Linked DNA regions of Sus scrofa. Each later gene encodes a partner of the first gene's protein in a complex. Links are inferred from orthologs where the notes say so. Each region holds a gene or a part of one and is shown in the gene's direction. Other genes may lie near its edges.

Evidence for each region.
Region 2: the proteins of SLC15A2 (region 1) and PDZK1 are in contact, whole or in part, in a crystal structure (PDB 6EZI), measured with the Homo sapiens proteins. The link is inferred for Sus scrofa from reciprocal best matches to the Homo sapiens genes SLC15A2 and PDZK1. Residues at the interface, in NP_066568.3 of Homo sapiens: Glu723, Thr724, Lys725, Lys726, Thr727, Lys728, Leu729; in NP_001188254.1 of Homo sapiens: Asn386, Gly387, Tyr388, Gly389, Phe390, His391, Leu392, Asn393, Ala394, Ile395, Arg396, Gln407, Tyr436, Glu437, Val440, Ile443, Gln444.

What each region holds. Positions count from the first base shown.
Region 1 is NC_010455.5:138,624,963-138,641,570, reverse strand, and holds the start of SLC15A2 (solute carrier family 15 member 2), read left to right. Parts: upstream 1-9,049; coding exon 9,050-9,154; intron 9,155-11,153; coding exon 11,154-11,241; intron 11,242-11,842; coding exon 11,843-11,984; intron 11,985-14,096; coding exon 14,097-14,189; intron 14,190-15,595; coding exon 15,596-15,695; intron 15,696-16,608. Other genes in the region: EAF2 (ELL-associated factor 2), read left to right, coding at 2,365-2,411. UniProt on the Homo sapiens protein: Proton-coupled amino-acid transporter that transports oligopeptides of 2 to 4 amino acids with a preference for dipeptides. Transports neutral and anionic dipeptides with a proton to peptide stoichiometry of 2:1 or 3:1.
Region 2 is NC_010446.5:99,646,172-99,662,679, forward strand, and holds the end of PDZK1 (Na(+)/H(+) exchange regulatory cofactor NHE-RF3), read left to right. Parts: intron 1-325; coding exon 326-521; intron 522-3,093; coding exon 3,094-3,290; intron 3,291-7,541; coding exon 7,542-7,760; intron 7,761-8,384; coding exon 8,385-8,675; intron 8,676-8,680; exon of another isoform or gene 8,681-10,510; coding exon 10,511-10,564; 3' UTR 10,565-10,999; downstream 11,000-16,508. Other genes in the region: Golgi pH regulator, read right to left, coding at 11,919-12,125, 12,271-12,336, 13,462-13,551, 15,288-15,383. UniProt on the Homo sapiens protein: A scaffold protein that connects plasma membrane proteins and regulatory components, regulating their surface expression in epithelial cells apical domains.

The sequences.
Region 1 (16,608 bases):
TTTCCTACCGCATATATACTTGATCATTTGCCAGGTATTTCAAATGTACCATGTTAAAAATTGAACTTGTGATTTTTCTTACACAATTTTGTCCCTTTAGTGTGTCTCATCTCAATAAATGATACTACCATTTAGACCAGAAACCTTGGGGGGGGTCATTCTTAACTCTTCTTTCTCTCATACACTAAATGCAATGCTGTTGACAGTCCTATAAGCTCTATCTTCAAAGCAAATTATAAATCTGACCACTTAGTACTACCTTCACCTGAACTACCTGAGTCTAAGCCAGTATTATTTCTTTTTTCCCCAGTTTTATTGGAATACAGCTCTTCAGCACTATATAATTTAAAAAAATGTATAACTAATGTTTGACTACATACATCATGAAATGGTTACCACAGTAAGTTTAGTGCATATCTATCATCTCATATAGATAAAACATTAAAGAAATAGAAAAAAAGTTTTTTTCTTAGTGATGGAAACTCTTAGGATTTACTCTCTTAACAACTTTATTTTATGACATACAACAGGGTTAATTATTTTTATCATATTATACATTACATCCCTAGCACTTATTTACCTTATAATTGGAGGTTTGTACTGCTTTCATCTAATTCCCCCTCCCCACACCTCCCATCTGTGGTAGCCAGAAATCTGATCTTTTTCTATGAGTTTGTTTATTTATTTGTTTTTGAAATATACTGACCTGCCACTCTGTATTAGTTCTTGGTACACAACATAGTATTTTGATATTTTTATATATTCAAAATGATCATCATTATAAGTCTAGTTGTCATCTGTCACCACACAAAGATATTACACAGTTATTGACTATATTCCTACACTCTACATGGGTCCTACCTGTGACTATTTATTTTAAAACTAAGTTTGTTCCACTCAATCTCCCTCACCTATTTCTCTCTCCACTCTATCCCTCTCCCCTGGCACCTGTTTTTCACTCTGTATTCATCATTCTGTTTCTGTTTCTGTTCAACTGTATTGTGTATCACATTCCACATATAAGTGAAATCATACAGTATTTGTCTTTCTCAAAGCCGATATAATTTCTTACATGAGGAACTGCATAGATTCATAACTGTTCTCCCTGAATCCATATTTTTTCCACACCGTTATAGTCTATGCACTGATACATAATAGTGTTCAAGTCAGTTGGTTGCTTAAAATTTTCCAGTGAATTGAATTCCCATTACATTTCAAATGAAATCTAAAGTTTTTACCGTGAGCTACACACCTTGGTCTTCTGGATATCTTTCAGACATTTTCCCTTCCATTCGCTTTCTCGTTCATTCCACTTCAGCCATAGTGGTGGTTTGCTGTCAGAGAGCACAAGAAGCATGCTTTTCTGTCTTGGGGCATTTGTATTTGCTGTTCCCTGAGCCTGGGCAGTTTTCCCCACTACTCTGTTTTCATGACTTTCTCCCTTCATTGTATCTCTTTTCAGATGTCCACCTCAAGGTGGTCTTCCTAACTACACTATCTAAAATAGCACCTCACACTGCTCTCCTCATACCCACCTTCATTTTTTCATTGTATTTATTCCGACTTGGGGTGAATATTACATTATATATTTATTTGTTTACTCTCCCCCCCCCCCACTGGAATGTCAGTTCCATGATTGTAAGCACAGGGATGATTACAAAAGAATCAGTGACGAGGGAATTCTCATGGCTCAGTGGTAACAAACATGATTAGTATCCATGAGGATGTGGGTTTGATCCCTGGCTTTGCTCAGTGGGTTAAGGACCCAGTGTGGTGGTGAGCTGTGGTGTAGGTCACAGCCGCGGCTTGAATCCAGCACTGCTGTGGCTGTGTGTATGTAGACCAGCAGCTGTAGCTGGGATTCAACCCCTAGCCTGGGAACTTCCATATGCTGCAGGTGCAGCCCTGAAAAAAAAAGGCCAAAAAAAAAAAAAAAAAAAAAGAATCAATAATAAGTTGCTCTTAACATATACTACTTAATGATTTTGACTGAATTTTAAGTAAAAAATTATATAACTTTTTTCACTCTTCAAAATAGTGTTATCTTCTAAAGCACATTTTCTCATTTTCTGATGTAATTAAATCAGTAGTATAAAGGATGATGTTGGTATATAGAAGAAAACTAAAATTGATGCCAGATAATACTAAAACTATGCTGAACATTGATGGTTTATTTTTTTCTTTACAGACAGTATTATTTGAGTTACTAATAATGAGACTAATTATAGGATAAGCAGTCTGATACTTAAAGACAAAATGCTAGCTAAACAGGATCCCCTTGTGGTTATATTTTGAATGACATCTGCTGTGATCCAAACATAGGTAAAATATTTAATTACCACAGTTAATGCTTTTTTATTTTAGGAAATGATTTGCAGCTGAGTGAATCAGGAAGTGACAGTGATGACTGAAGAAATATTCAACAATAAGTATAAAATTTTCAAGACGTGATAATTTATTTTATATTATGAATAAAAATTCCTAGGGCTGAGGAAAATGTATCAATTTTTGATGATAAAGTTGTGATTCAGAATTTTCAGTTAATGTTACTTTTTTTTTTTTTTACCATTTATGAGTACCAGCATTTTCATGTGTTTTGTTTAATGTTAATGAAACTCTACTGAAGTTTTACAGATGAGAAAACAAATTTAGAAGTTAGGTAATTTGCCCACATACTGTTAGTTAACAAGTGTCAGATCAACTGTTCTAAAGTTCAAGTTCAGTGTTCTGTTTTATCATACTGCTGTCTTCAATTATGAAATGTCAGAACTACTGATTTATAATAAATGTCCCTGGTCTTGATTATATCTCTGAGCCTTTCTATATGATATTCCTTACATTTTGGTTGAAAACTAAGCTATAATTTAGCATGAAGGTGAAGCTAAATAATTGTTTTAATGAAACACTTGCTCCATTATCTGTCACATAATTTGTCTTGTTCTCTTCTCTCAGATATTTTTAAAAATCATTTTCTTATTTTGCTTTTGAGGTAAAAATATGAAGATCTATTAATGAGATAAATAATATTTACACTTAAAACATTTTTGAATTTTGAGGAAATTATAGATATTAGATAATAGTTGAAAGCCACTGACCAGCAGCAAGGTTTTTTTTTTTTTGTTTTAATTAATAAACTTTATTTAAAAGCAGTTTTAATTTTACAGCAAAATCAAGCAGAAAGTACAGAGAATTTTCATATATCCCTGTTCCCACACATGCACAGCTTCCCTAGTATAAACATCCTGCACTGGAGTGGTACTTTTTTTTTTTTTTTTTTGGCTTTTTGGCTTTTTGCCTTTTTCTAGGGCTGCTTCCCACGACATATGGAGGTTCCCAGGCTAGGGGTCAAATCAGAGCTACAGCCGCCGGCCTACACCACAGCCACAGTAAAGCGGGATCCAAGCTGCATCTGCAACCTACACCACAGCTCATGGCAACGCCAGGTCCTTAACCCACTGAGCAAGGCCAGGGATTGAACCCGCAACCTCATGGTTCCTAGTCGGATTCGTTAACCACTGTGCCATGACAGGAACTCCTACATTTTTTTTTTTAACAATTGATGAACTTTCATTGACACAGCATCATTCAAAGTCCATAGTTTATACATTGGAGTTCACTTTGTTGTTGTACTTTCTGTGTGTATTAACAAATGTATAATAACATTTATCCACTATTGTATTATCATTCAGTATAGTTTCACTGCCCAAAAAAAACGTGCTCTGCCAATTCATTCCCCCACACACCAACCTTTGACAATCAATAATTTTTTTACCCTCTTCTTAGTTTTGCCTTTTCCAAAATATCTTATAATTGGAATCATACAGTATGCAGCCTTTTTAGATTGGCTTCTTTCACGTAATAATATGCACTTAAGTTTCCTTCATGTCTTTTTCATGGCTTGATGGTTCATTTCTATTTAGCACTGAATAATATTACATTGTTTAGATGTACCATAGTTTATTTATCCTGTAACTTACTGAGTGAATCTTGGTTACTTCCAAGTTTTGGCAATTATGAAAAAATATTTTATCCACCTTCACCTCTTATCATAACAAGTTCTATAGTTTTTGTTTTTTTTTTTTTTTAATCCTTAAGTTTGGGTTTAATTTCTTCCTTTCTTTTTTTTTTTCCTTTTTGTCTTTTCTAGGGCTGCACCCACGGCATATGGAGGTCCCCAAGCTAGGGGTCTAATTGGAACTGTAGCCACTGGCCTATGCCAGAGCCACAGCAGTGCCACATCCTAGCCGTGTCTGCGACCTACAGCACAGCTCATGGCAACACCGGATGCTTAACCCACTGAGCGAGGCCAGGGATCGAACCCTCAACGTCAAGGTTCCTAGTCAGATTCGTTAATCACCGAGCCATGACGGGAACTCCAGGTTTGGTTTTAATTTCTCCCATTTCTCTCTCCCTTTCTCTCTCTGGCCCATCTTCAGCCATAACCTATTTATGTCTTCACCTTTATTTCTATTTTATTCATCGATGCCAAAAACTATGTTATATATTACTTAATTAAAGCAAGCTCGAAAAGAGTGTTTCTCTGTGGCTCAGTGGATTAAGGACCCAGCATTATCGCTGCTGTGCCTCAGGCCACTGCTGTGGCATCAGTTCAGTCCCTGGCCCAGGAACTTCCAAATACTGCAGATGTGGCCAAAATGAAAAAAATAAGCAAGCTTGAATATTCCAAGTAGCTTATTATTTTAATGCAGGAATACAAATTATAATGTTTTTTACTGAAAGTTGTTATGCTGAGATTTCATTAGTGTTTACCAGAAATGAGTTCATGGTGATATGAACTGATAATGCTGACTATATAACACACATTATGTTCTCAGAATATACCTCCCACAGTCAAAACAACTTGTCCTTCCTCTCTTCTATTATTTCTCCCATAAATGAAATATGTTCTTAAAATTATTTTTATGGGTTGAATACCTAGCATATCATTCTTTATCCCCCTTAAGGGTAAACATAAGTATCTTAGAAAGGAATGAAATAGTATATCTTGGGCTTCTGTGTTATTTTTATTTGATGCATTTTCAGACATTGAAATGTGGGGATCAGTGGATGAGACAAGTTCTCAGATATGAGGTTCACTGTCAGAACCATCCTCACATGATTCTAAGCACATACCTTTTTTTCCTGCCAGCTTTATCGAATTGACAGATAACATTATATAAATTTAAGGTGTACAATGGGATGATTAGATATTGTATATATTATGTAATTATTATTAAAATAAGGTTAGTTAACATAAGCTCATATTCTTTTAGTTTGACCTTTCTGAATAGATTGATGAAACTGATGATAATGTAAGCATGCGAGTAGGGAAAGTAAGTTGGTTACAAAGGAACAAAAATCAGTGGGCTTTGAACTATCCCATAGCACTGCACTTGAACTCTAAAGTTAGTAAAGCTGCATCTGCACAAAGGTACGAGTGTGACCTCTGAATCATGTATTCATCAAATATCATCCACAGTTTGTTAAGAAAGCATTCTTAGACATGTCAGATTTAGGAATTATATCATTTAGATACCATTCATGTAATAATTATTTTAGTAATTTCCAATTCTTTTTTTTTTTTTTTTTTTTTTTTTGTCTTTTTGCCTTTTCTTCAGCTGCTCCCGCGGCATATGGAGGTTCCCAGGCAAGGGAGCTGTAGCCACTGGCCTACACCAGAGCCACAGCAACGTGGGATCCGAGCCGCGTCTGGGACCTACACCACAGCTCATGCCAATGCCAGATCCTTAACCACTGAGCAAGGCCAGGGACCGAACCCGCAACCTCATGGTTCCTAGTTGGATTTGTTAACCACTGCGCCACACAGGAACTCCAGTAATTTCCAATTCTTTACGAGATGAGTCAGACTTAATAAGAATGGAAAAAAATCATAAAAATGTATTCGTAAGAGGTTGAGAGCGCCTTCATTTGTAGGAGTAGGTAAATAAATGATGTAATTTATATAAAATGAACTGTAAAAATTACATAAAAATACATACTAATACTCTAAGTGTTTAGTATTGATGTCTTAAACATCTTTCAATAGATATATTCCTGGGTATTTTTTATGCTACTATAGCAGTATAATTTTTTAAATTTCCTTTTCTATTTGTTTTTGCTATATTTAAATAATGTACTTTTATGTAATTTTATATTGATGCACTTTGCTAAACACATGTTCTCTTTTAATTGCCTTTTCTAACTATGTGAGTGTCTGTCATTTTAGAGCTTCTTTTCTGTACATAGCCTAATATATCACTCTTGGAGTTCCCATTGTGGCTCAGTTGGTTAAGAACCCAACATAGTGTCTGTGAGGATGCAAGTTTGATATGTGGCTTCACTCAGTGGGTTAAGGATATGGAGTTAACCTGGGAACTTCCATATGCTGCAGGTGCAGGTGCAAAAAGAAAAAAAAATCTCTCTTCTGTCATAATCATTGAGGTCACAAGTATTTTTTACTCTTATCACATACTTTAGGTTCTTCCACTTTTATTGCTTTTTTTTGCCCCTGAAGTGTTTGTACTCATTTCTATTCAGAAGTTGTTTTTCTTTTTGATCTTTTCCCTTTTATCCTTCTATCTGATTTCAACTTAGCAAAAATGGTGTATAAGAGGCATCTTGATAAGGAGGAAAAAGGCTTTAGGTCTCGAAGGTGGGGATTCTAGTCTGAGCCCTTCTGTAATATTCTTCAGGCTAGACTAAGAGAAGGATTTTAAACCAGTGTTCACCAAACCCCTGTTCTAAGAATTACCATAGATGCTTATTAAAATATACATTCTTAAATACCTCCTTAGAGAATAAGAATTTTCAAAGGAAAGGCCTTTAAGTGTGTGTGTGTGTGTGTGTGTGTGTGTGTGTGAGGAGAGAGAGAGAGAGAGAGAGAGAGAGAGAGAGAGAGAGAGAGAGAGAGAGAATCGTTCTGGAAATTTATATATATAAGATATCCCTAAGTGATTTTTTTTCTTTTTTATGGCTACATGCATGGCATATGGAATCAGCTGAAGCCAGGGCTTGAATCAGAGCTGCAGCTTCAGGACTATGCTACAGTCATTACAACACCGGATCCGAGCTGCATCTGCAAACTGTGCCGCACCTTGCAGCAATACTGGATCTGTAACCCACTGAACGAAACCAGAGATTAAAGCCACATCCTCACGGACACTGTGTTTCTTAACCCATTGAGTCACAATAGGAACTCCCTCCCTAAGTGATTTTTATCATTAGGGAAGTTTAGTTTACATAGGACAAGATTAAGTTTCCTTCCATCTCTGATATTATTTGATTCTATTAATGTTAGCATAGTATTGCATAATTAAAAGAAGAATTTCATCTAAACAAAGGAGTATGAGAACCAATGCCAATACTCTAAAGTTTGATATTTAGGGCACCTATGAGCACAAATGAATTGGTGCTTTGTTCACAGGTGCTATTCCATTTGCTCTGCCAGATCAAATGCTATCAAGTCAGAGCAAGGGGAGCCACTGATATAATTAGATCTTAAAGACATTTGTGCCTCTAGTGGTTAACTTGACCAGTAACTTCTGACTGTTCATTTGTTTTGCATCTAGAGTCATTAACCAAACTAGGTCAGAAAGGGCAGTGCTTCCTGAAAGAATAACTACAGCTTAATCATTAATGTCACAGTCTGAAATGAAGCTGGACTCTTTTTCATTGGTGGGAGAGAAGTGGGATAAGAGGTATACTAGAAGCTGGGAAAATATGGTCAAAGTCTAAGATAGAGTTTAGGAAAGAGAGGATAGAGTTTATTCTGGCCTTACTTGTCAACAAATTACTCAAACAGGTAATGGAAGAACTTTACAGGGAATAGAGTCATAGGTTCTCTCTCATATTCTAAAATAAAATAATTCATTCCCCTGTTTCCTGACTTCCTTGTTGGTTTAGTCTTCATTTTTCTTCTTGCTGTCTTGCCATTATTTTCCTTTCTCTTTTGACTGACAGCTAGATGGACACCATACTCTCTTGTTCTTATTTTGCCTCTTTGACTTAGCAAAAATCATACTGTAAAAAGTACATCTATCATTGTCATGGCTGTTCTTGTTCCTCCTCTGATAGGAAATAAATATTATATTCTGGAGTCACTGGGAAGTCCATTCACTGAAAATTAAGGAAAATGATGTTTGTAATAGTAACTAGAAAATATCTGGTTCCTAATTTTTATGCAAATTAAATTGTATTTCCTCATGTCATGAAGGATTCATCTTGACGTGAGAAAATAAATTTATCAAAGTAGAAGAATTATTCCCAAATGTACATGACCAAGACCTATTTAATTGCTTATAGGATATTTCTAGTTGAACTTTATTATGTTGAAAACCAAATGTTTTTTTCTATCCAAATTCATTTTGGAGATGACCTTCCCTCTTCAATGCATTTCAGTTCCCCCGCATTCCTATGTTCCTATGTTTACATTTCCATATAGCCTCCATTCCCGAGAAAGGACCATAGGCTTTACTGATACTAATCTATATGTAATGGCATACCGAAAATTCCAGATCTGCTGCTTACTGGCCACATGATATTGGGCAAATTACATAACCTGTTGTTTATTAGTTCCTTAAAACGAGGATAGTAGTAAGAATTAAAACATATGGGTATAGATATAATATATGTATGTATATATAAACTTTGCCCATAGTAGATGTGCAACAAGTGGTGGCTATTATTACCCTGAAATCAATTTTGAAATCTGTGCTCCAGGCTATGCTCCAGGTCTGTGTAGTCTTACTAATTTTCATCCATTTGCAGTTCTCCAGCATTATGCTCTTCCAGCCCATGATGTGGTGTTCTTCCTTGTGCTCTACCTTTAACATAATCATTCTTTGAACTAGTCTCTAAGACTCGATCCTTTCTTTTATATAGCTTTCTACTTTGCAGGCAGCTGCTGAAGCCCGACACCCACGGGGTTAAACCTAGTTGCCGAAGCCACCCCCTCTTCCCCTCCCAGTCCCCCTTTTCACAGTAGCCTGGCAGCTGTCCGACTGCCTACCAAAGCCAAATGCTTGAAGAGAGAGAGAGTAAGGAGCCAGCCATGAATCCCTTCCAGAAAAATGAATCCAAGGAAACACTTTTTTTACCTGTCTCCACTGAAGAAGTACCACCTCGACCCCCCAGCTTTCCAAAGAAGCCATCTCCGGTGAGTCCTCAGATTCAGTTCTGCCTCTGACAGGAACATACTTGCTCTTTTGGTTCTCCTCCTTGGCCTCTAGAGTTTCAGGCTGAGCTGTGTTACAGTGTTAAAAACTCTTCTCTCTCTCGGATTTAGAGTTAACCTGTAAACCAAGTCTAAACAGAAGTTTCCTTTACTTAGGAGAGGATGCAGCAGAAAGAGGTAGTCAGAGTTCTTCAATTGGCATCTAAGACTTTGATGTGTTTCATTGTATACTCTGAGTTTCTCTAGGGTGGGAAAAAAAGCACTTTGAGCGTCCAGGGAAACTTGGCAAGCACTCCTTTCTGGAGAACTGTGTGTGATTGTTCTTTCTTTACTAATATAAAAACTCAACCCTTAGTTCCCCCTGTGTGTAGAGTCTATGCTGGACACCAAGGTCTGTTATTATGTGTTTCAGTTTACAGTGGGGGAAGGAACAGGGAAACAAGGAAGTGATAATAATGTTTTGTATACGTGTTAAAGCACTTGCAAATTCATTATCTCGTTTCAATCTTCATATCAAAATCCTATAAGTGGAGAGGATATAGAAATATTAGCCAGTATTTAATGAGTTCTTACCACAAAGAGGTGGTAGTGTTCTAGAGGTGGTAGTTTCTTTGGAATAATAGAATTGAAGTATAAAGACAAGTGTAGTGATACACCGGGGGCAGTATGTTAACACAGCCAATGACAGTGTTACATAGCTAGTAAAAGTGTGCTAATTAAACTTGAAGTTGCATAATTCTCAAACTGTGAGCTAAAAGGTAAAGAACTTAATTCACTGTATCTTTCAAGCAAGTTTTTAATCATACATTAATGTATATTAATATTTAGGAGGGTTGTTTATATCTATATGGATAAAAGATTGGATACATTAATGTATTAATTTATCATTTATTTATTTAGTTATATCTCTTCTGGTCCCAAAGAATTTAAGCTTGCTCACAAAGATGTGTGTGTGTGTGTATCTTATTAATAAGAAGAGACCATAAAAATCTCATGGTAAGATTTGGTTGAACCAAGAACAGATATCTCCATCCCTCTCTCATGTTAGTTGGGCCATCATAATGGGTAGGAATTTGAAATGAAACATGATATTCCTTATATTCTGACAGATAATGCTTGAAATAGCATAGTACTTTTAATGCCCAATAGGATTACCATTAAAATGCTGTAGAATCTCTTTTATAGAAAGAATGGACATTTAATTTGACAAGATTTAAGAACTCTGCCCAAGGTGAAGGTATTCAATCAGCTTACCTTTAAGAATCTGTATTGGGCTCTGTGCCTGGCTCTAGTAGCCACTTAGAGGGAGGCCTTCATATTGCCAGGATTCCTCCAAGCACAGTGAACAGGGCAGGTGAGGACAGAGGTTAATCTGCACAGTGGAGCTAAGTATACTGACAGCTAAGTGTAACTGCTTAGACATCAGATGCTCTAGAGGACAACTCTTGGTTCTGTTCCTAGAAATGAATTTCATTATTCTCCTGCCTGGGGCGCTGGATGTTTCATTTAGTACTTGTGGGAAGATGAACAGGTCCTGGTGTCTAGAATCATGGATGCCTGAGAAGTTCCATGTTAAATGAATGATGAACAAAGTAATATTCAGAATAGTTTCTCTTACTCCTAAATCAGCAATGCAAATACTTTTAGTATGGTACCGGCTGTTTCATGAGAAATAGGGGCCATTGCTTCATATTACCTATTATGGTGACTTTAAAGAGTGATTTTAAAAAATAAATTTTAAAAAAATCGAGTTCCCTAATGGCCTAGACTAAGGATCTGGTATTGTCACTGATGTGGCTCGGGTCACTGCTATGGTGCGGGTTCAGTCCCTGGCCCAGGAGTTTCTGCATGCCATGGGCATGGCCGAAAAAAAAAAAAAAAAAAGAATAAATAAATGTTTTTTTTCCTGTTGTGGAGCAATCTAGTGGTTTAAGTAAGGAAATATAGTTCATACTTGAACCACTGCCTTTTTGTTTTACAGAAAATCTGTGGCTCCAACTATCCATTGAGCATTGCCTTCATCGTGGTGAATGAATTTTGTGAGCGCTTTTCCTATTATGGCATGAAAGGTAATTTTGTGTCCTAGAGTCCTGCTCTTCTGCACTCACTTTCACCCCATGTTTGTAACAACCTGGTCTTCTATGCAGTTACTTCCCTTGTCTACTCTTTCTGCCTTCATCCAATTGGTCCTTTCCTTTGTCCAAGACTTCTAAAACCTGCCTCATGGGATTTCACCTACTAACTCATACAGGCCAAGAATAGAAGGGCCTAATGGAAATCAGAACACAGCCTATGAGAATATAAGTGGAAAAACTCTCATCATTGGCATTCCATTTCCTCTTTTCTGTTCCTCAGATGTATTGATTATATTGTTACTGGGAAGGAAAGGATATTAGACGCTCCATGTTCTTTGGGATTGGCCTAAGTGATGCTATGTGTACATAGACTGAAGAGAGGAGTATTGTATTTGTACACTAAGCATCACCCGCTTCATTCCTACAACTCCGAGGGGCCCCAATTCTACTGCCCAGCAGTCACCCCTCAGTCACTTCACTGTTAGGAATGCTGAAGATCACCTTCAAAGACCAGATCAAATGTTCTTCTCCGTAAATCATTTTAATGCGTCTGTCTTGTTTTGTTCCCCCCCCCCCACCTTTTTTTTTGCCTCAGCTGTGCTGACCCTGTACTTCCTGTATTTCCTGCATTGGAGTGAAGACACTTCCACCTCTGTATACCACGCCTTCAGCAGCCTCTGTTATTTCACTCCCATCCTGGGAGCAGCCATTGCTGACTCATGGTTGGGAAAATTCAAGTAAGGATAATGGGAGGTCACATCCCAAGAAGATTCACAGATTGATTTTGCGGAGACTGTCACTTTTTAGCCACTTGCTTCACAGCAGGAACATACTCGTGTCACTCATGGTACCTAAGAACATCTCAGACTGATAATCCAGAAAAGGTTATGTCTCTTCACTATCAATTTCTTCAATATTTTTACACCCTTTTCAGTCAAAAGGTTTTTTTTTTCCCTTATATTTAATTTTAATCCTGCATTCTGTAGTTTAAGACCAATTCTTGTTCTGATTTCAGGCATGATAGAGTTTGCTTCCCATGAGAAAATTTATAGTTCAGGAGTTCCCATTGTGGTGCAGTGGAAATGAATCTGACTAGGAGGTTGCAAGTTTGATCCCTGGTCTCGCTCAGTGAGTTAAGAATCCGCATTGCCAGGTCGCAGATACGGCTCAGATCTGGCGTTGCTGTGGCTGTGGCAATATATATATATATTCATTATTCTAAAGTGTTTACTCAGCACCTAATATAGAGCTCCAGCTGCCGCAGTTCTAAACACAGTTTCTTGACTTGGAGAGGAATGGCAGGTGGCAGATATCTATGTTTGGTCTTTACGTAGTGTGGTTACCAAGTCCATCCAGATGGAGGGCTGGCACGGTATGCAGAATAAAAGGATTCTCTCTCCTTCTGTTAAAGTTCTCTGTCATTCGCTTCCTTTCTGGACTTATTCCCTGAGTCCTTCACCTAGAGGACTGCCTGTTTTCCTCCTAGGCCCCTAACACTTCTCTCATTCCTTTAGTGTAACAATCTGATATTGACATGATCTCTTTACTCAAACTCTATCACCCCAGCTCAGACTCCTTTTATTTTTTTCCTCCATAATGATTTAGCATAGATCATTTATTTGGGTTCATAATACTGATCGTTTTCAGTCCCTTCTTATGCCTTTTTTTTCTATTCATTGTTTTTATTCCAACAAAGAGAACCTTTTTTTTTTCCAGAAGACACTATAAGGCCTTTTGGGGAAGCCTGCCCCCTCCTCTGATACTAAGTCGCCCTGGTTTAGTCATTCAACTTATCTCCTGTGTGCCTTATAAAACTTTCTAAGGTCCCTTTCCTGTTTCCTGGAGAGCCAAGGGCTAGGAAGATTAGGCATTTAGAATGAGAAATGCACATTCTGAGATTTCTAGAATCTCCAGCCTCTCTCTGCTACCTTCATTCCATTCTTTTTCTTTTTACATCAGCATATAACACTTTAAAATCGTAGAAGTAAACTATGTAATTTCCAAGGTTCTTTCTAGTACTAATATTCTACTTATATGTAATGCTGGGGTAGTAATACATGTAAGAAGTATGTTGTATGTGTGGTAGTGTGCCTTATTTCAGTGTGTATATCTGTACATATTTATCATTCAGATTTTTTTGAAAAATAGCACAAGTCCCTACCAACTCTCTGAGCTCTATCAGACTTTGACGGTCTGTTCAAAGTCCCTGGTTCCTTTCTTACCCTTGGGAAATTGTCCATGAGGAAATTGTGAGGATTATAATTAACCCAGGTGTGCAAGACCAGACTCAGCCCGAGAGCCCTTTATATCTCTGTACATCCCAGTGATTGCATTTAGAGAAAGTTCTTTGTGTTAGCCATCCCCCCTTTTTTTTTTTCCTGTTTACATGACATTCTCCTTGACCTTATGGATTTCTAGAGCCAAAGACATTCCCTGAAAGAAAGAAAAAAAAGCCCTCTGATCAAAGTATTCCACTTTTCTGGTTCTCCTAATTTAAAACATTGTCACTTGCTACAAATCCAACCTGGTCTTGACATATTTGTACAAGATCAGGGGTATTCTGCACATATGTGGGATAAATGGGGAAATAGGTTAGAGCAGATATGAGAAAGGAAAGTCCATTATCTCTAACATTACAGGGCGAAGAGTTGCTGTCTCTTTTTCTAGTCTGTTTGCCTCCTTCTCCATTATTATTTCTGTTTGCGTTTCTCAGGTAATTCTTTCCTCCTCCACTCCTTCCTCCTCCCACTCCATTTATCCTGACACTGAGAACAGTATGAACTCTGAGTCTGTATTACTCAAATATCTGAATTCTGTTTGTAGATTGACTAATTTAACTCTCTCAACAGGACAATTATCTATCTCTCCTTGGTGTATGTCCTTGGCCATGTGATCAAGTCCCTGGGTGCCTTACCAATACTGGGGGGACATATGATACACACGTGAGTAAAATCATGGGATAAACCAAACCACTTTCCCTCCATCGGATGGGTAAATGTCTCATGTATTCATTACGGATGTTTTCCTGTCTTCTTACCAGAGATGTCCCTTTATTTTCCAACCTACTATTTTGTTACCAAATTGCTTAAGAAAAAAAAATCTTTGATCAGCTGAACTTTTTCCTGTTTTTTTGTTTTGTTTTGTTTTTTTTTTTTTTTTTTCTGGGCTTGTTTATTGTTATTGTGCATTTGGGGACTTGTAGAATAACTAGTTAGTATCTTTTTCATAAAAACTCTTCATATGCTTGAAGACAGTGATGAAAACCTTCAAGTCCTCCACATTCCCTCACCTATTCACCCACCCATGCATTATACTTTACCAGAGTTAAAAAATAATCTGTATGAGTTCCCCTCGTGGCTCAGTGGTTAATGAGTCTAACTGGCATCCATGAGGACACAAATTCGATCCCTGGCCTTGCTCAGTGGGTTAAGGCTCTGGTATTGCCATGAGCTGTGGTATAAGTCACAGATGCAGATCACATCTTGTGTTGCTGAGGCTCTGGCATAGGCCAGCAGCTACAGCTCCAATTTGACCCCTAGCCTGGGAATCTCCTTATGGCATGGGTGAGGCCCTAAAAAAAAAAAAAAAAGAAAGAAAGAAAAAAAATCTATGATGTTTTCTTATAATACATTGTAGAATTCATATTCAAAACTTAGATGATTTCCATTTATGTGTAGTTCCATATATTCCAGTTACTCTATACCTCTTTACTGAAGCTATTGATGTTTATGATGCCAGAGGTTTTTGGTAAATTTTGATGTCTGTTGGTTGAGTCAGTAGAGAGGGTTAGAGCTGTTCAAGAAGCAGGTCATATATATTCATGCTTATAATGTATTTTCTCATGAGTTAAGACTTTTGTTTGAAATTTAATAAATATTAGATACCTTTTTTCTTGTCATCCCATTAAAAATCACTGGCACCTCTCCTATTAATTATGATATTAACTTTTTGTTGGTTAGTAATGATAAGTAGGACAAGGGTTCATAAGATGTTTCTATTGGAGTGTCCCTTTGACTAAGGCAAGATTGAGAACCAGTGCTTTAGCTTTGGCGTTCCTTCAGTATCTGCTTCTATCTGTTGCACTCAAGGGGTAGATGAAACTATCAGGGACAAAAATCTTCCCATGTGATGGATACTTTCTGGCAGAATGTCAAGGGTTATAAAGATTGTCAGTGCCCCTGGGTCTCCCCTAGGAGCGCAAGTATGTGGAAAATGCCCAGAGGGTAGAAATGTAAAGGAGGTCTTAGCCCTTGTACACATTTTTTTTTCTTCTCCTATAGCTCTATATTCAATTTCTACAGTTGTTTTTAGTATCAATATGGTTAGTATTCTCACGTCTCCATTTCAGCATCCTGTCAATGGTCGGCTTGAGTCTAATCGCTTTGGGGACAGGAGGTATCAAACCCTGTGTGGCAGCTTTTGGTGGAGATCAGTTTGAAGAAAAACATGTAAGAGTCCTGTTATTTCTGTATTTTTAAAAACGTAAAAGGGGCATTAAGTGAGGTACCTGGCAGATAGCCATTTGCCAAAATTGTAGTGATCCACCAGTCAGATCATATCTGGGGAGTTGTGCTCAAGGCTGGGTACTGGTCATAAATAGAGGGAAAGACTGAAACATTTCAAAGGGAAGTGTCTATGGATGGACTAAAAGATGCATCTTATGAAGAAAGATTGAGGGAAAGGGAGGTATTTAACCTGGATAAGATAAGAATTAAAGAAAATGTTATAGCTGTCCATAGATATTGGGAGGATGTCAGTAGTTAAACCAGAGATCAATGAGTGAAAACTGGAATTCCCTGGTGGCACAGTAGGTTAAGGATCCTGTGTTGTCACTGCAGTGGCCCAGGTTGCTGCTCTGGTGCGGGTTTGATACCTGGCCTGGGAACTTCCGCATGCTGCAAGCACGGCCAAAAAAAGAAAAAAAAAAAAAAAAAGAATGAAAGCTATAGGAAGGTAGCTTTTTGCTTGATGAAAGAAAAAACTTCAACTAGTCAGAGTTGAAAACAGTGAGTTTACTGTCACTTGACTTATTTAAGAAGAAACATGATAACCACTTTGGGAATATGTGAGGAGATGAGTAGTGTAAAGAAGATTTAAACATCTCTAGCTTTGAGAGTCTATGAAAGGGGAAAATGACCACTCAGAATAAAGCAGAATGAGTTTCTATGGATGAACCTGTCTGGATGATCATTCCTTCTTTTCCTAAATACTTTCCATTAATAATGGGGGTAAAACAGAATAAATAAAGGTAAAAATGGCACATATGATGAAGTATTGACAATGAGGCAAGGGAAATTGTCTGTTTGTAAATCCACCAACATTTCTACCTTCCTCTCTTTTCCTCTCAGTTTTCTTTTTTGT
Region 2 (16,508 bases), on another chromosome or scaffold:
TTCTCTAGGTTGAAGGATCTTTCAAAGCAGACCTTTACTTTCTTTTCCTTTCCAAACTCCATTCCTAGTCTTCACCTATGTGCCTTTCCAAGTTTTCTGAATTCCAGCTCACAACTGGGTTCCCTTAGCATCTGTGTGGGTGAGGTCATACTTAAAACAAAGGGAAAAACAACTGTAGAAATGATAAATGCCAGTATTACAGCCTAAACTCCGGCCTTACAACCCATATTTCCTGTTGAATCTAGAGACTATGTGCCTCTGGAAACTTTTCCCAGCATCATTCTTGGAGATTGAGGTTGGTCCTCACCTGTATGTGTTGCTGCAGGTGAAGAAGTCCGGAAGCCGTGTTATGTTCCTGCTGGTGGACAAGGAAACTGACAAGTACCATAGTGAGCAGAAGATAAAAGTCAAGAGAGAAACAGCCAGTTTGAAACTGCTACCCCACCAGCCTCGGATTGTGGAGATGAAGAAGGGGAGCAATGGCTATGGTTTCTATTTGAGGGCAGGCCCAGAACAGAAAGGTAAGGCAATAGAAGAGCAGAAAACCTGGCAGTGGAACCATCCAATTCTTTATCCCAGCCTGACTCCTGCGTTCCATTAGGCCCCCACTCCCCATCAAATTCATAGAGGAGACAGTAAGAAACTAGAAAGCATAGCTGGGTCAGTTTCCACATTATGTGGTGGCCTGATGATGGGCAGCCCTCGGTTTCCATAGCAGAATAATAAGGCAGAATTTGGGATCTGGGCAGTAGTATGCTGGTAAATTGGCTCTCTTGGGGGAAAAAGCCCCAATTTGTAGCATGTGTTGTTGTTGTTGTTGTTTGTGGTGTAAATACTCCCACCATGTCTGATTTCAAGCTGTCAACATGGAGTCACAGACTGCAAAGTTGAGAAGTTCATGCAAGTTTGGCTCTCAGAAACTGCTGTGAGCCAACACCACTAGATCTGAGGCAGAGGTGTGGGCTGGGATCTGGGACTTGAATAGAAGAGTCTTTCTGATTCCTTGTAATTCAATAAAGAAACGACAGTGGTCCTCCTATGGAAGCTGAATACATTAAAAAAAAGTGTTGGTTCAGGCCATGCAAACTCTTATTCACCCAGAAGCTGCTAGTTTCTTTTCATTGTATTATATGTATATAGTTATGAAATATTAACTTGGTTCATATTATATTAAAAACACCCTTGGGGCCTTTGAGAATATCAAGCGAATCAGACAAGAATTCTTCAGTCAATGAGCCTTCTGTTTAGCAGAGGAGATAAGACACATATGTCCACAACCGAAGATAGATGGCAAGAAACACCTTAATACAGGGGCCGATAGAATATTGTGGAAATTCAAGGTTGCAACAGATTTTTCTCACAGAAAAGGCACTGGGAGGCCTCATAGTAAAGGTAGCACTTGAGCTGAAGCTTTGTAGTATGAATAGAACTTGGACAAGCTAAGGGGTGGGGACAAAGAAGTCCAATCCAGAGATAGGATTGCATGAATAAAGCAGGGAAACATGGGCACAGTTTGATTGGCATCTAATGTGTAGCACAGAGAACCAAGTTAGAAAGGTAGGTTGAAGAGAGGTGATGGAGGTTTAGTGCCAGGTTGAGGAGTTTGGACTTGGTTCTATGTCAATGGGGAGTTAAACGGTTTTTGAGCATTGTGAGAGAGAATTAAAATTAAGCCTTCAGGGCCTTTGGGGCTTTACACATCTCAATTACTTCTGATAATTCTGCAAGAATTGCTGAAGTTGAGGACTTGAAGATACAAGCATTATAAGGTCAAATAGTTGTGGTATATTTAGTCTCAAGTTCAGGTCTGTTTGGTTCTAAAGCCCATGCCCACGTTGTGCTGACTGACTTGGTCAGACACGGCATCAAGATGAAGCTGAAGGCAGATGTGCACTGGAGAAGGTAGAATTCAAGACAAGAAATAATACAAACTGCATTTTGTGTAGAGGAACTAGGCCTAGAGGAGCTGTTTAACATACTAAGGTAGCATTGAAGGACTTAGTTGACTAGACATGGAGAGTGGATGCTGAGGAAGAATCAGCTGTTAAGTGTCAGTGACAGGGGGGAAATGGTGCTCCCACTAACAAGTGACCAAGAGGAAGGGCCTTGGAATGGGGAGATGGCCTAGATGGTTTTTGGTTTGAATACATTACACTTGAGGAACCTATGGGGTATCCAGTTGGAGATGTCAAGCAACTAGCTTTTTTGGAAAAGTAAAACTGGAACTTGTTAAAACTGTATGAGGGACACAAAAGGTATGAGAGATGTGGAGGCATCTGGTGAAGACAGTTCAGATCAGAAGGCTAAAGACACATCTTGAGGGAGTGTCTGTTGTGGCTCAGCAGTAATGAACCTAACTAGTATCCATGAGGATGCAGGTTCGATCCCTGGCCCTGCTCAAGGATCTGGGTTAAGGATCTGGCGTTGCTGTGAGCCATGGTGTAGGTCGCAGATGTGGCTTGGATCCCACGTTGCTATGGCTGTGGTAGGCCAGCAGCTGATTCAACCCCTAGCCTGGGAACTTCCATAAGCCACAGGTTTGGCCCTAAACAGCAAAGCAAAAAAAAAGCAAAAAAAAAAAAAAAAAAAAAAAAAAAGACACATCTTGTGTCATGCACACAAAATGCATTCACAATCAAACATGCCCAACTGCTACTAAAATGCCAGCATGGATTTTCTAGGGTCTGAATTCTTTGGTTTTGTTCATCATTCTTCTCTTTCTCCTGCTTGTGGCTTAGCTCCTACATAAGATGTATGGATACAAGCATGCACACCGATTTCCTAGGATCTTGGGACCCTTAATGCTTACCATGCTATTTTGTCAGATACTTTTAGTAACAACATGATTCTTTAAGATCCTCTCGTTATTAATGTCTGGGTTTGTTCCTGGAATGAGTTCTGACCAAAGAACAAGGTCTACTGGGATACATATAGACGGCCTAGGGTGCCAGTGGGAAGGATGGGAGCTGTACTCAGCAGGCTTTTTAATCTATTTTATAAGGCCCTTAGGCTCCAGCAGAAACATCACTGTTTTTTAGGGATCTTTCTGATAATTTTATTTATTTAGGGTTTTTTTTTTGGGGGGGGGTGTAGGTCAAATTGTCAAGGACATAGATTCCAGAAGTCCAGCAGAAGAGGCTGGCTTGAAGAACAATGACCTGGTGGTTGCTGTCAATGGCGAGTGTGTGGAGTCCCTCGATCATGACAGTGTGGTGGAAATGATTAGAAAGGGTGGAGATCAGACTTCATTGTTGGTGGTAGACAAAGAGACGGACAACATGTATAAACTGGTAAGTAACACAAGGCCATATATTCTGGCTAAGTTACCACTTTGACTCTTCATCCTGGAAGGAACATAGCAATCATCATTAAGCCTGCATGAAAGCTCAAATGGGTAAGGAGAATGCCAAGTGATTGATACATGAGTTTTAAATACTTAGATTGAGGATTTTAGAAAGAATTTGAAAATATAACTGCAGAATTTCTCTTGGTGACCTGAGAAAATCTATGAAAAATATTCTGGAAATAAGCAGATGTAGCCCTAACTTTCCCAAATAGGGAACAACTGGATTCTAAAGTATAGACCAATAAGTAAGTTCTGTCATTCCCATGTAAAAGCCTGGGAGGGATTATTAAACAGTTTATAAGTCCTTAACAAGGGAATAGAATCATAGCATTAACCAAGATCAAGTTGTGTCAAACCTTATTTCCTCTTAACTCTTAATCACAACAGCTAATCTGCATATTTTAAAGTTTTTTTTTTTTTTTTTTTTTTTTTTTTGCTATTTCTTTGGGCCGCTTCTGCAGCATATGGAGGTTCCCGGGCTAGGGGTTGAATCGGAGCTGTAGCCGCCGGCCTACGCCAGAGTCACAGCAACGCGCAATCCGAGCCGCGTCTGCAACCTACACCACAGCTCACGGCAACGCCGGATCGTTAACCCACTGAGCAAGGGCAGGGACCGAACCCGCAACCTCATGGTTCCTAGTCGGATTCGTTAACCACTGCGCCACGACGGGAACTCCATATTTTAAAGTTTTTATAACATTTATTTTATCATAAAAACTGAGGTTCACTCTAGCTTAGCAGAAATTTGGGGACCTTCTTAAGTACCATCTGCCTTGCTGGGTTGGTTACAAAAATGAACAAAGATGAACTTGTTCTATGTGATATACAATAATGGATACATCCAAAAGTCTGTAAATGATATAGAGGGAGGAATATTATGGGTGGTGGTGGTTGTGGTATTAACCTCCTTTTTAGATTAAAACCTGAAGCTTAGAGAGACTAAGTGATTGGCTAAAGTCACCTAGCTTAGTAAAGACTGAAGCCAATATATGAATGCAAGTTTTAATTCATTATACCATATTCCCTCCAAGCACAACACTTTGATTAGATATTTGAAGAGACCTGTATAATGAAAGGTAAAGAGTGAACTGGATGATAGAATAATTAATGGGTTTTTAGCCAGTTGAACAACCATACCTAAAAAATACGTGACATTGGACAATGTCAACCTGAACAGGTGTCTCTAATGAATGGTTGCTTGTCCTATCCTAGTTTATTATTACCTGTAAATGGAGACATGGAAAATGTATTTGACATATGTGATACAGATGACTTAAGTCTGATCATGGATAATTAATTTACTAGAGACTATAATTAATATTCCAAGTAGTATACTAACTTAAAGCTAAATTGTATGAATGCCAAACGGTGAAACCTAATTTGATGACTAGAAAAAGAGCACAAACTTGATGATACTCTAAGTAGCTGTCCCCTCCCCAAAAAAGTCAATTTAAGGTTATATTAATTGACATTGGGCTTTTGGAGATGATAGTAGTATTGTACTGAGTTGGTCAGACTATACTTTAAACTACCGGTGGTGTAATCTTGGGCAAGTTACCCTCCTCATGCCTGTTTCCATGGTTGTAAGATGAGGGTAGCTACTGTGACGGGTGGGTATGAGTGTTAAGTGAGTTAATATTTAGAGCATTCAGAATAATGCCTTGCAGTGTTTTATATCAACATTGTGTCCAGTTCTGAGAACCTCACTTTAAGAAGGCCAGTGTCAAGAAAGGTAACCAGGGCAGAGGATTTACAAGACATTATGTGCATATTCAGTTGAACAAGCATAGAATTTGGGGAAGAAAGGAGAACATCTCCAAGAATTTAAAGACTAAATGGTGACTATGTAAGGTGATAGATGTATTAACTAATTTGTGGTAATCATTTCACAAGGTGTATATATATATATATATATGTATATATATATATATAAAATCAACATGTACAGCTTGAATATATACAATTTTGTCAGTTATACTTCATTAAGGCTGAGAAAATACATGAAGCAAAAATTTACAAAATTAAAAAGAGAAATATACTTCTACAATAATAGTTGGAGACTTCAATATCCCATTCTCAATAATGAATAGAACAACCAGACAGAAAAAAGCAAGGAACCAGAAGACTGGAACAACACAAACCAGCTAGATTTAACAGACAAACACAGAAGACGCTACCCAACAACAGAACACATGTTCTTCTCAAGTGCACATGGGATATTCTCCAGGACAGACCATATGTTAAGCCACAAAATGTCACAATAGCCAAATGATGGAATCAATCCGATGGAATCAATCTAAGTGTCCACTGACAGATGAATGGAATTTAAAAATGTGGGGTGTGTGTGTGTATATATATATACATACATACATACATACATACACACATATATATATATATATATATATATATATATATAAAAAACATACATATGAATTTGAAAGGCATTCTATGGGGCACAGCTTGACCAAACAGAGAAGCCATAGGGAGCTAGCTTTTGGCTTAAGGACAACTGAAGCTTCCAGGAACAAGCTCTGCAGAGTGGGGGGCTCCCAGTTTGTGGAAAAGGTCAAGCAAAAATCGTAAGGTCACTGCTGTGGCTGTTTAAAAGGAATTCCGGTATGAAGTCCTTTTCAACACTTCCTAGTCATATGACAGAATGACTTAACTATAATTTAATGTTCTGGTTAAAATGAGAGAATTTGGATCTAGAAAAATGACTGTCTCTACCTTCTTTCTCCCTCTTTACCCACTACCCTATACCCCCCAAAGTAAGTTCCATAGGTAGGTAGGTGGGTTGTGGTTGGATCTTTGATATATATCAGTGAATACAACTCCTAAACCAGTTCCTGACATCTACTAGACACCCAAATGTTTGAATGAAGAAAGAGTAAAAGCTCAGTAAGTGTTTAATGTTACTGTACTTGGCCTCAATATTAGCTGCTACTGTCAGATAACGGTTGATTTGCTTGTTTGGGTAGTGATGTCAGAGGCATTTTTTGCATGTGATGAGTCATTCTGATAATTTCCCACATTCTAAAGAGAGAAAGAAATGCGGAGCATTTGCAAGTATATCACTGAAATGTTTGAAGTTATTAGCTAAACTGGGTAACTAGGAGGTTCTGTGCTGGTGCTACGCTTGTTTAGAAAGGCAGATGTAGGACAGATGATACCAGGACCCCAAATCCAATTGCAGCCAGGCTGCTGAACAGTAAGCTCAAGGGCAGAGGATGTTGTACTCATCTTCAATTGCTTGATTTTCTACTCACTGCCAACAAATGTCCTGGACAGCTGTGCGCAGCAATTTAGCTGCTGATCCTAGACCTTATGGTACCCAAATATACTCTTTTAATCCTCACAACTAAAACCAACAGCCAGCTAAACTCTTTATTCCCTCTCATATTCATATATATATATATATATATATATGACAACAAAAAACCCAGTCACATGCTTCCTGTTCTCTACCTCTTTTTGCATTTAAGACAATCACTGCCTTCTTCATATGGATTGTCTAGAGTTGAGATGGATTAGAAGTATTTAAAGATAGTGAGTCTAGTATAACAGAAATGTCAGGTGATGGTTACAATAATAAACAGTATTCAAGATTGGAGGGGGAGGTGAGAGAACCAAGTAGCAAAGCATTGGAATTAACTTGTTACCGTATGTGACCAACTGTGTGATTGCCACCACCCTCTACCCCTCTCCCCAATTAATTACTGTGCTTCAGATAGTGATAAAAATACTGTCTCATGTTTTACTTTCTCTAATGTGTTTAAGCTCTGAAGACCACCTTATTGAAGGGGAAGGGCCAGGTGAACCTACTTTGCCCAGAATACTGGGCAAGTCAATGTTGATAATTTCCCAGCAAGGAGAACGCCTGTAGTTTGTTCAGTGACTCGCTCAATATCATGGAAACAAAACCCAGTAATTCTGGTAGACTTATTTTTGGATTCTTGTACAACATTCTGTACTGCTTTTATTTTATGTATACATACATTTGTTTACATGTTTATGCTCATTACTCCTTAACAAGCTCAATTTTGCTTTATATCTCTTCTGTTTGGGTCATAATTATATAGCTCACAACCAGATGTATCTGGAAGAGGAGTGGAACATGTATGACGCCTTGTAAATTAAACCAGCACACTTAAAGTGCAATTTCTAATGTTTTTTCCCCCTTTGTTTTCAAAAGGCTCGTATTTCTCCTTTTCTCTACTATCAAAGTCAAGAACTGCCCAATGGTTCTGTCACGGAGGCCCCTGCTCCTGCTCCTCTGGAGGTCTCCAGTCCAGACACTACAGAGGAAGTGGGAGATCATAAACCTAAACTCTGCAGGCTGGTTAAAGGTGAAGATGGCTATGGCTTTCACTTAAATGCGATTCGGGGTCAGCCAGGCTCGTTCGTCAAAGAGGTATGGTGATCTGGTTCTGGCAGCCCAATGAACACAGCCAGTTAGAAGGGCCTCAGTTTCTCTCATTCACTGATGCCTCAGTAAAAAGTACACTGAGGGTCTCCTTGGGTTCAAATATGTGCTATAACGGTCCCGTACCATTTAAGATAGTTGCTAGCATGTCCCAAGCTCACATCTTTTGTTTCCTAGACATCTGTTCCACATAATTGTCTCTTTAATTACTTTAAACAGAGTAAGTTGGCACGACTGCAGTTGACAGTCACTAACAACTCTGACTGGGAGTGATACTTGTTTGCTTCTGTGCATTTGGCATAATGCCCCTACCCTGCAGGGACTGACAGTGAGATGATTGCTGCGAAAGCTCTCAAGTTGGGAATGAAGAAGGGGGACCTATGAAACCTAATGCCTTCAACCCCAGAAGACATACAATGTGATATTCAACCACTGTGACACTACTCATTTGAGTGGGGAAGTTGTAGCTTTTACAAGCAGAAAAGCACTAGAGCACCATTCTCAGCTTCTGTATGTCAAGGTGAAATAACATCACCTCTCCTCTGAAGAATAGCTAGTCTAATCTTCTGTTGTCCGTGTTTGGAGGTGATAACTCAGGACTTCTGCTCACAGGTACAGAAGGGCGGCCCAGCTGACCTGGCTGGGCTGGAGGATGAGGACGTCATCATTGAAGTGAACGGAGTGAATGTGCTGGATGAGCCCTATGAGAAGGTGGTGGACAGAATCCAGAGCAGTGGCAAGAATGTCACGCTCCTAGTCTGTGGAAAGAAGGCCTATGATTATTTCCAGGCTAAGAAAATCCCTATTGTTTCCTCTATGGCTGATCCACTAGATGACGCCCCTGATTCTAAAGAAGGAACGCTGGAGGAATCGGAGCATGACTCGCACACGGCAAAAGAAAGAGTGAGTGATGACACATTTCTTTTAATGATCTGACTAACCAGAGTATAGTAAAGTCCTTAATAAGCGCATTACACATCTATGTTTATCTCAGATTTCCTAAAATACTAGAAAATTACAGTGTAACAAGAACTAGCACATCCAGTTATTGAGGGGGAGAGAAGGTAAAGACAACACACTTCTTATTTTTCACTGCGTGGAATTGACAGTAATTGCCTAAAGTTCATAAATCGAGAAATAACAGAAGCTTATCAAAATTATAACAGGAACCACCAGAAGAACCTGAATCAGACTCTTTACGTACAAATTCTGGATCTGCCATTTATCATCCTTGGCCAAATGGATTTATTCTCTGTGCCTCATTTTCCCCACCTTTAAAATAAGGATAATTTGTAGGATTGTTATCAGGATTATGTTAAATAAGATTTTTAAAGTGCTTTGAACAGTGCCTAGTTCATGGTAAGAGTGAAATGAATGGTGGTGGTTAGAGACAGTATTGTTCTTATTATTCAAGTCTATTACTAGGGAAGAGTAAGCATTATTCTATATGTACTTAGATTAGATAAATTCCTTGGTAAGTCTCAACCTTTCACAGATGAACTTGAGAACTGACCTATCCAAAAGCGAACTGACCTATCCAAGTTCATAAAGGGAATGTATAGCAAAGCCAAAACGCTAATAAAAGCTTTATACACTTTCCATTACATTAATTCTACTGATTGATAATATATTAAAAAAATACTCATTAAAAACTATTTTTTTGGCCATGCCTGCAGCATGCAAAAGTTGTAGGGCCAGGGATCAAACCCACACCATAGTAACGACCTTTGCCCCAGCAGTGACAACACAGGATCCTTAACCTGCCACGCTACCAGGGAAATCCCAAATACTCATTTTTTTTTTGTTTGTTTTTCTGCCTTTTTTAGGGCTGCTCCTGCGGCATATGGAGGTTCCCAGGCTAGGGGTCTAATCGGAGCTGTAGCCACAGGCCTACGCCATAGCCACAGCAACGTGAGATCCGAGCCACGTCAGCAACCTACACCACAGCTCACAGCAATGCTGGATCGCATTAGGAACCTCATGGTTCCTAATGGGTTTCGTTAACCACTGAGCCACAACGGGAACTCCCCAAATACTCATTTTTAATGAACACATGCTTAGTCTGTTTGGGCTGCTAAACAAAATATCATAGACTAGGTGGCTTATAAACAACAAGCATTTATTTCTCACAGTTCTGGAGACTGGGAAGTCCAAGATCATGGCACTGATAGATTCAGTGTCTGGTGAAGGTCTTCTCGCTTGCAGGCTCTTGACTTCTGGCTATGCCTTCACCTGGTAGCAGGGGCTAAGGGGTCTGGGAGGACTCTTTTATAAGGGCAGTAATCTCAGTCATGAGAGCTATGTCTTCACCTCCCAAAGGCCCAACCTCTTCATAATATCACTTTGCGGAACAGGATTTCAATTTATGCATTTTGGGGAGATACAAATATGCAGATCATAGCACACATGATAGCCACTGAACTTGTATTCTGGGTTGTTTCACAAAAAATGTATTCTAGGTATCTTTAAAAAATTCTATAATATCTCTATAGGAAGTTAATTATAGTACTATGCTAGTTTGGTAGAAAAGGCGTATGTGTATGTGAGTGTGTGTATAGACACACACACATTAAGAAATGTGTTAGTGTCAAACAAAGCCAAATGTAGAATTTGGGTCATCTGGCTTCTAGTGAGTGACTCTACTCCCTGACTTAAGCCATGCAACCCTGGAACAGATCATCCATTTCCTGATGTTCACACTCTTACCACTTATAGATCCTCTGTTTTCTTTTTCACAGGCCAACAGTACAGCCTCTCATTCTTCTTCCAATTCTGAAGATACAGAGATGTGATGAGAACAAGTAATGGCTTTGGCTGATAACCATTTCTGGGTATTTAATAGGAATCCTTTCCCAAGGAATGAGCTGCCACCAGTTTACTTTCTCTGTTAGAAAAGACTCCTCTGGAAACCAGTTCATCATATGTGATTGTCTTCTGCTGTCATCCATCTTAGGGGTGGCTACTGCACATAGCTTATTTATGGTCAGCTTAGGAAAAGTGAAGGCAGGAGCCAGATGCTTTTCGCATAATCTCTTTCAAGCTTCAACTTAACTACATTTCTCTGTATGATGTTATCTCTTCTATAGGTTCTTAGAGCATCAAAGACAATTCATAAATCTGTATATGTGAGGGCTGCTAATTAAAGTTTCTGAACAGATAAGCCTTTTAAAATTATGCTTTTGTAAAAGAATGTTGTTGTTGCTAAAATAAATGGCATTAAAAATGTCTTTTTTTTTTTTTTTGTCTTTTTAGGGCCACACCCACATTAATTCCCAGGATAGGGGTTGAATCAGAGCTGCAGCTGCTTGTGTATGCCACAGCTCATGGCAACATCAGATCCTTTAACCCACTGAGAGGGGCCAGGGATCAAACCCGTGTCCTCAGAGAGTCTCTTATTCCAGTTAACAGTTACTCATTGTTTTATCCCACAGTACGAGGGGCAGATAAAAAGAAAAAATGAGATATCATCACTGACTTAAATTTAGAGTAATTCACAAATAATATGAAGTTGAGAGGAAATCAAGAAAAATGACATAGTCTGAAGTCTCTCTTGGCAGAACATTTCATTTGTACACCATTTCTTCCCCAGAACAGATAATCTTTTGGTTATTTTCATGGGGCCAGGGTTGGGGAGGAGGGGCAGGATACCAACTCACCTTATACAAGCATAATACCAAGCTATCTTTGATAAAATGAAACTAAGGCCAAAGTATTACAACCTCTGATTTTAATGATAATCAATCTCAAGGGAAAGTCATAACCTTCTCCATGTGATCCTTGACTTAAACAGAAACCCTATGTTTCTGGCCCAGCTACCTGACATGTCTCTTACCCTAGAGTTCCAGTGTATTTTTTCCCTTTAGTTTCTCTGCTCTTTTCCACTCCTACCACCCAGCATGCTGCACCAGCCTCCGACCCAAACAGGTTGGCTGAGGACTAGCTCGAGTTACTCCTCTTTCTCATTTCCAGCTGATGCTACTCATGATCACAGTATCATCTGAGGAGGAAGGCGTAAACTGGAGGTAAGATATGCTACCACAGCATATTGTTTAAAAAATATTAAGTCCTGGTCCCCCCTCCATTTTTTCCCTCTTATATCCAAATTCTGGCATCAGTGGCCTGCAGCAGTCTGTAATAGGCATGAGTTCAAGGTGCCATATGCTTCTCTGGTGCCTGTTTGTGAGCCAAATAGAGGAAAAGTATGCTGGAAAGAGCACTGACCAGGAAGATCACATCAAACCAACGGTGATAGAAGTTGAACTGCAGCTCTCCAAGGACTTCGGTGACTATGGTGCGGTACTCCAGGGGCATGCTCATTCGGATCAGTAGCACCGAGGAGACGAAATACATGCCCTGTAAGTCCAATTAATCCAGAAGTCACTTTGAATGCAGCGACACACGAGTCAAAGGAAATTGTTAAATAAGGAAATATTTAAAAGGATAAAACACATTTCTGGTATTTTACAGCTGTAAACATAAAGCTAGTTCATAAACTCACCATTATCTGTGCTAATAGCAGGACAATGACATTGGAGGACTTACTGCTGGAGATGGCATAAAAGAACTAGAAAGGGAGGAGAGGTGGATTTATACAGATTCCTGTGTCAAAAACATTACATAGTACGGTTAACATTTAACAGTGTCTCTTCTATGCCACAATCCTGCATAGAACCATTCAGATGATTAAAGCTATAAATAAGAGATTTAACTAGATTGCCCCAAAACGATCCACGTATAGTTTTCCCATACGGGTAGTTGGTGGTTTTAAGTATTATAACATGAAAGGAATCCAACTGCTATCAAACTTTTTAGAAACTATGTGATACATAAGACTTTATCACCATTATAACACATTAAAACAAATTACCCTGGGCCACTCTAAGCCTTTGTAATTGTTATTAGGCTCCTGAGCTCTTTCTAAAATTGTGCTAGATGCTTAGAGATCCCCTCTCCCCTCCCAGCCTCTTTTCTCCTTTCATTCGAACACCACTTGGATCTTGAAATCCTTACCTCTTCTACCAGAGAGGATTTACTTTCCAGCTCCATGAAGCCTTCCTATGTTGACCAGAAAGCATTCTGCTGCTCCTACTTCCATATTCTCCTTACAAGCGACTCAACAATTATTCTTCTAATCTCAAATTCTATCTTATTTATTTATTTATTTATTTATTTTTAGCTATTTCTTGGGCCGCTCCGGCGGCATATGGAGGTTCCCAGGCTAGGGGTCAAATCGGAGCCGTAGCCACCGGTCTACGCCAGAGCCACAGCAACGCGGGATCATTAACCCACTGAGCAAGGACAGGGACCGAACCCGCAACCTCATGGTTCCCAGTCGGATTTGTTAACCATTGCACCACGACGGGAACTCCTATCTCATTTATTTATTATAGATATCTGCTCAGTACCTACTATGTACCAAGTTCTGTTCTAGTTGCTGGTGACATAATCAGTGAGCGAAGCAAACTGTGATCTCACTCTATGACTTTTGGCAAATGTACTTATCTAATCGGTGTATGATGTAAATACATCATCAATTTGTGTATTAGTTTAAATTTTTCTTTTATTCAGTTTTATGTCTTTTAAATATCTGTGTCTGCTAAGATCTCAGAAGGCAGAAATCTTTATTAGGTAAAATGATCTTGTAGTGCCACGTGTAATAAGTACTTTTAAGTTCTGTGATACAACATACCTTGGTAAGAGTGATCAACAATCCTCTGATTGATGTGACGATGATTATTCCAACTAGAATGAAGGAAATGTGTTGGGACCAGAACTTCACCTGTCATTATATTAATAAGAAAAACATTTGTTAAATCTCTGTTGAGAGAGATGTGAATATGAAGAAGATGCATTCCGATTGCTTATGTGACGGTGAGTAGGAACTTCATTAAGCCCTACGTGATTTAAAAAAATTTTTAGGGAGGGAGGAAGGTGAGTAAGTGGCAATGAAAAGACCTATAGCCAGACTGCAAAGGATATCTTGATTAGCAGACTTAACACTAATAAATCAGAAGACACAGAGCTAATGACATAGGTTCAAGCGAAAATCATGAATTAAAAGGAAACTAAATAGCAGCCTGATAATGTTTAATATTTGTGAATGACAGTCCTCTAAACACCCAAAACTTTAAGGAAACTTTCTTTTTATAAAATCTATAGACATTCTCAGCTACAATCTAGGAAATAGCTGAATTTCATTTGAATCACAAGAGGATACCCTGTATCCTCCTGGATTACTTCAGAGTGAGAGGCAGCTGTGATACCCTGTGCTTGATTCAGGGCTGAAAAGCATCTTAGGGGGAGCTGTATTGGTAACATCTAAGAGATGTTATTCAGAATGATGAAACATGGAGTATGCAGATGAGCAATAGATGGAGTACATATCCATACACAGCAACTAGCCTTGGAAAGCACTGATAAGGAGGGGCATTTCTAAAAATTCACCCCAGTAAAAAATTTAAAAGAGGAAAACATACGTAACGATAGTAGAACATACTTTACCATATAGTTTATATACTACTTTAAGGAGAGACACCATGCTCCTTCACATGAAAAAGGATACACGACTGATCTGTCATCAGAAAGTGTGTGCTTTGAGCTGTTTCTCAAGGACTGGAGCTCAATTTGCTCTGGTGTATTTTCATTTTATCCAGCTACCAGGGGATGTCCAGCTGAGGTGAATGGCTGAGGGTAGCATGAAGTCTGTGGCCAGGATCATAGCATAGCTAAATGCCTTATAAGAACTAAAAACATGACATTGGTCTTATTATCGAAGTGCCAATCAGCTAGAATCATTGGCCATATACCTAGAAAAGACACTATTCTACAAACAAAAACATTAAACTTAAATTGGGGAGTTCCCTTGCGGCTCAGTGGGTTAAGGATCTGGTGTTGTCACTGTTATGGCTCTGGTTACAGCTTTGGTTCAATCCCTGGCCTGGGAAATTCCACATGCTGTGGGTGTGGCCAAAAAAATGGGACAAAAGTGTGTTTAATAACAGAGGTATCATAAAACAGGTAGAACGATGATTTAAAAAAAGACTTTGTACACAGATGACAGTTACCATTTTTAGCTCAAAGTTCACAGGAATTGATAGATAATTTTTTACAGCAGGAATCATTTCAGTTCTAAGATGAAACACTAATTAGTAGTTATTCTTCTACCTGAAGAATCAAAAGTGAGCTATGTGTTTGAAGATGTCATCAAGTATCACAGAGAGAAGAATTCGAATATTTGGTGGGGAAAAGCTGGTGAGTAGTAGTTGCTACAGAGAAGTAGAGGAGGGATTATAGAAATAATCAGTATCCATATCAATAATAACTGTCAGTCATTACTTAGGGTTTTATGCCCTTTATAAATCTGCCACATGAATATGCCAAAATATACAGCAGAGTGAGAAGAACAAAAGCAGAAACAAGTATCTAAGGTAAGGAGTTGGAATTTAAAGAACGGTAATTTATAGCAAATAAAATAGAAAGAAACATAACAAACTAGGATTTTGATACAACTCTTACATCAAATTGGATCCCCAGATAATTCACAGTGATTTCAATGCCTCTTGTGACTGGATCAGTTTTCCCAACTCGGTCAAAAACGATATTAATGGTTGCCTGTAGAGATACAGACCTTCACATTGGAGTATTTTAATCACTATTTCAAAAAAAAAAAAAGATTCAATATAATGACCAAAAGTATCTTACAGGTGGATATTCCTAAAAATGCAGTTCCACTCCCAATCCAAATCATATATAAGAAATTTATTTTTGCTTTTCACATATAGGCAAACCAAAGCCCCTGTCTATCCTATCTTTCTTTTCTGTAAATTGTAAAGGGGAATACAGCTATGACATATGCAGCTTAATTTATTAGGAGCCAGAAAAGCAACATTCTGGTAGACAAAGTCAGGGTAAGAGAATCAAGAAAGTCTAGGGTCATTCGTGTGATTATTTTCTGAAAGCTCTAAGAACAATCACTAAAACAACAAAAAGACAAGCCAACTAAGAACATCAAGTGGAATTATGAAAAACATCCAAATAATCCAAAAGAAGCCAGAAAAAAAGCAAAAAGGGGAAAAAAGAACACGAGACAAACAAAATCAATAGCAACATAACTGTTTTAAATCAAACAAAATCAATAGCAACATAACTGTTTCAATCCTATCAATAATTACATTAAACAGAAATGGTCTAAACCAGGGGTTGGCAAACTCTGCTACTGTCATGTGACAGTAGGTATGTGACAGTATGTAGATAAATGGGCTTAGCTGTGTTCCAATAAGACTTTTTAAATAAAAGCAGATGGTGGCAGGATTTGGCCTATGGGCTACAGATGGCTGACTCCTGGTCCAAGTATGCCAATAAAATGGCAGAGGCTGTCCAGATTAGATAAAAAATGCAAGTTGCTTCCAAGAAACCTACTTTAAATATAATAATACTAAATATATAAATATATATGGAGTTCCTGTCATGGCTCAGTGGTTAGTGAACCAAACTAGCAGCCACGAGGACACAGTTTGATCCCTGGCCTTGATCAGTGGGTTAAGGATCTGGCGTTGCCGTGAGCTGTGGTGTAGGTCGCAGACGTGGTTCAGATCCCAAGTTGCTGTGGCTATGGTGTAGGTCAGCGGCTACAGCTTCGATTAGACCCCTAGCCTGGGAACCTCCATGTGCCACAGGTGCAGCCCTAAAAAGACAAAAAGACCAGAAAAACAAAACAAAAACCTAAATATATAAATA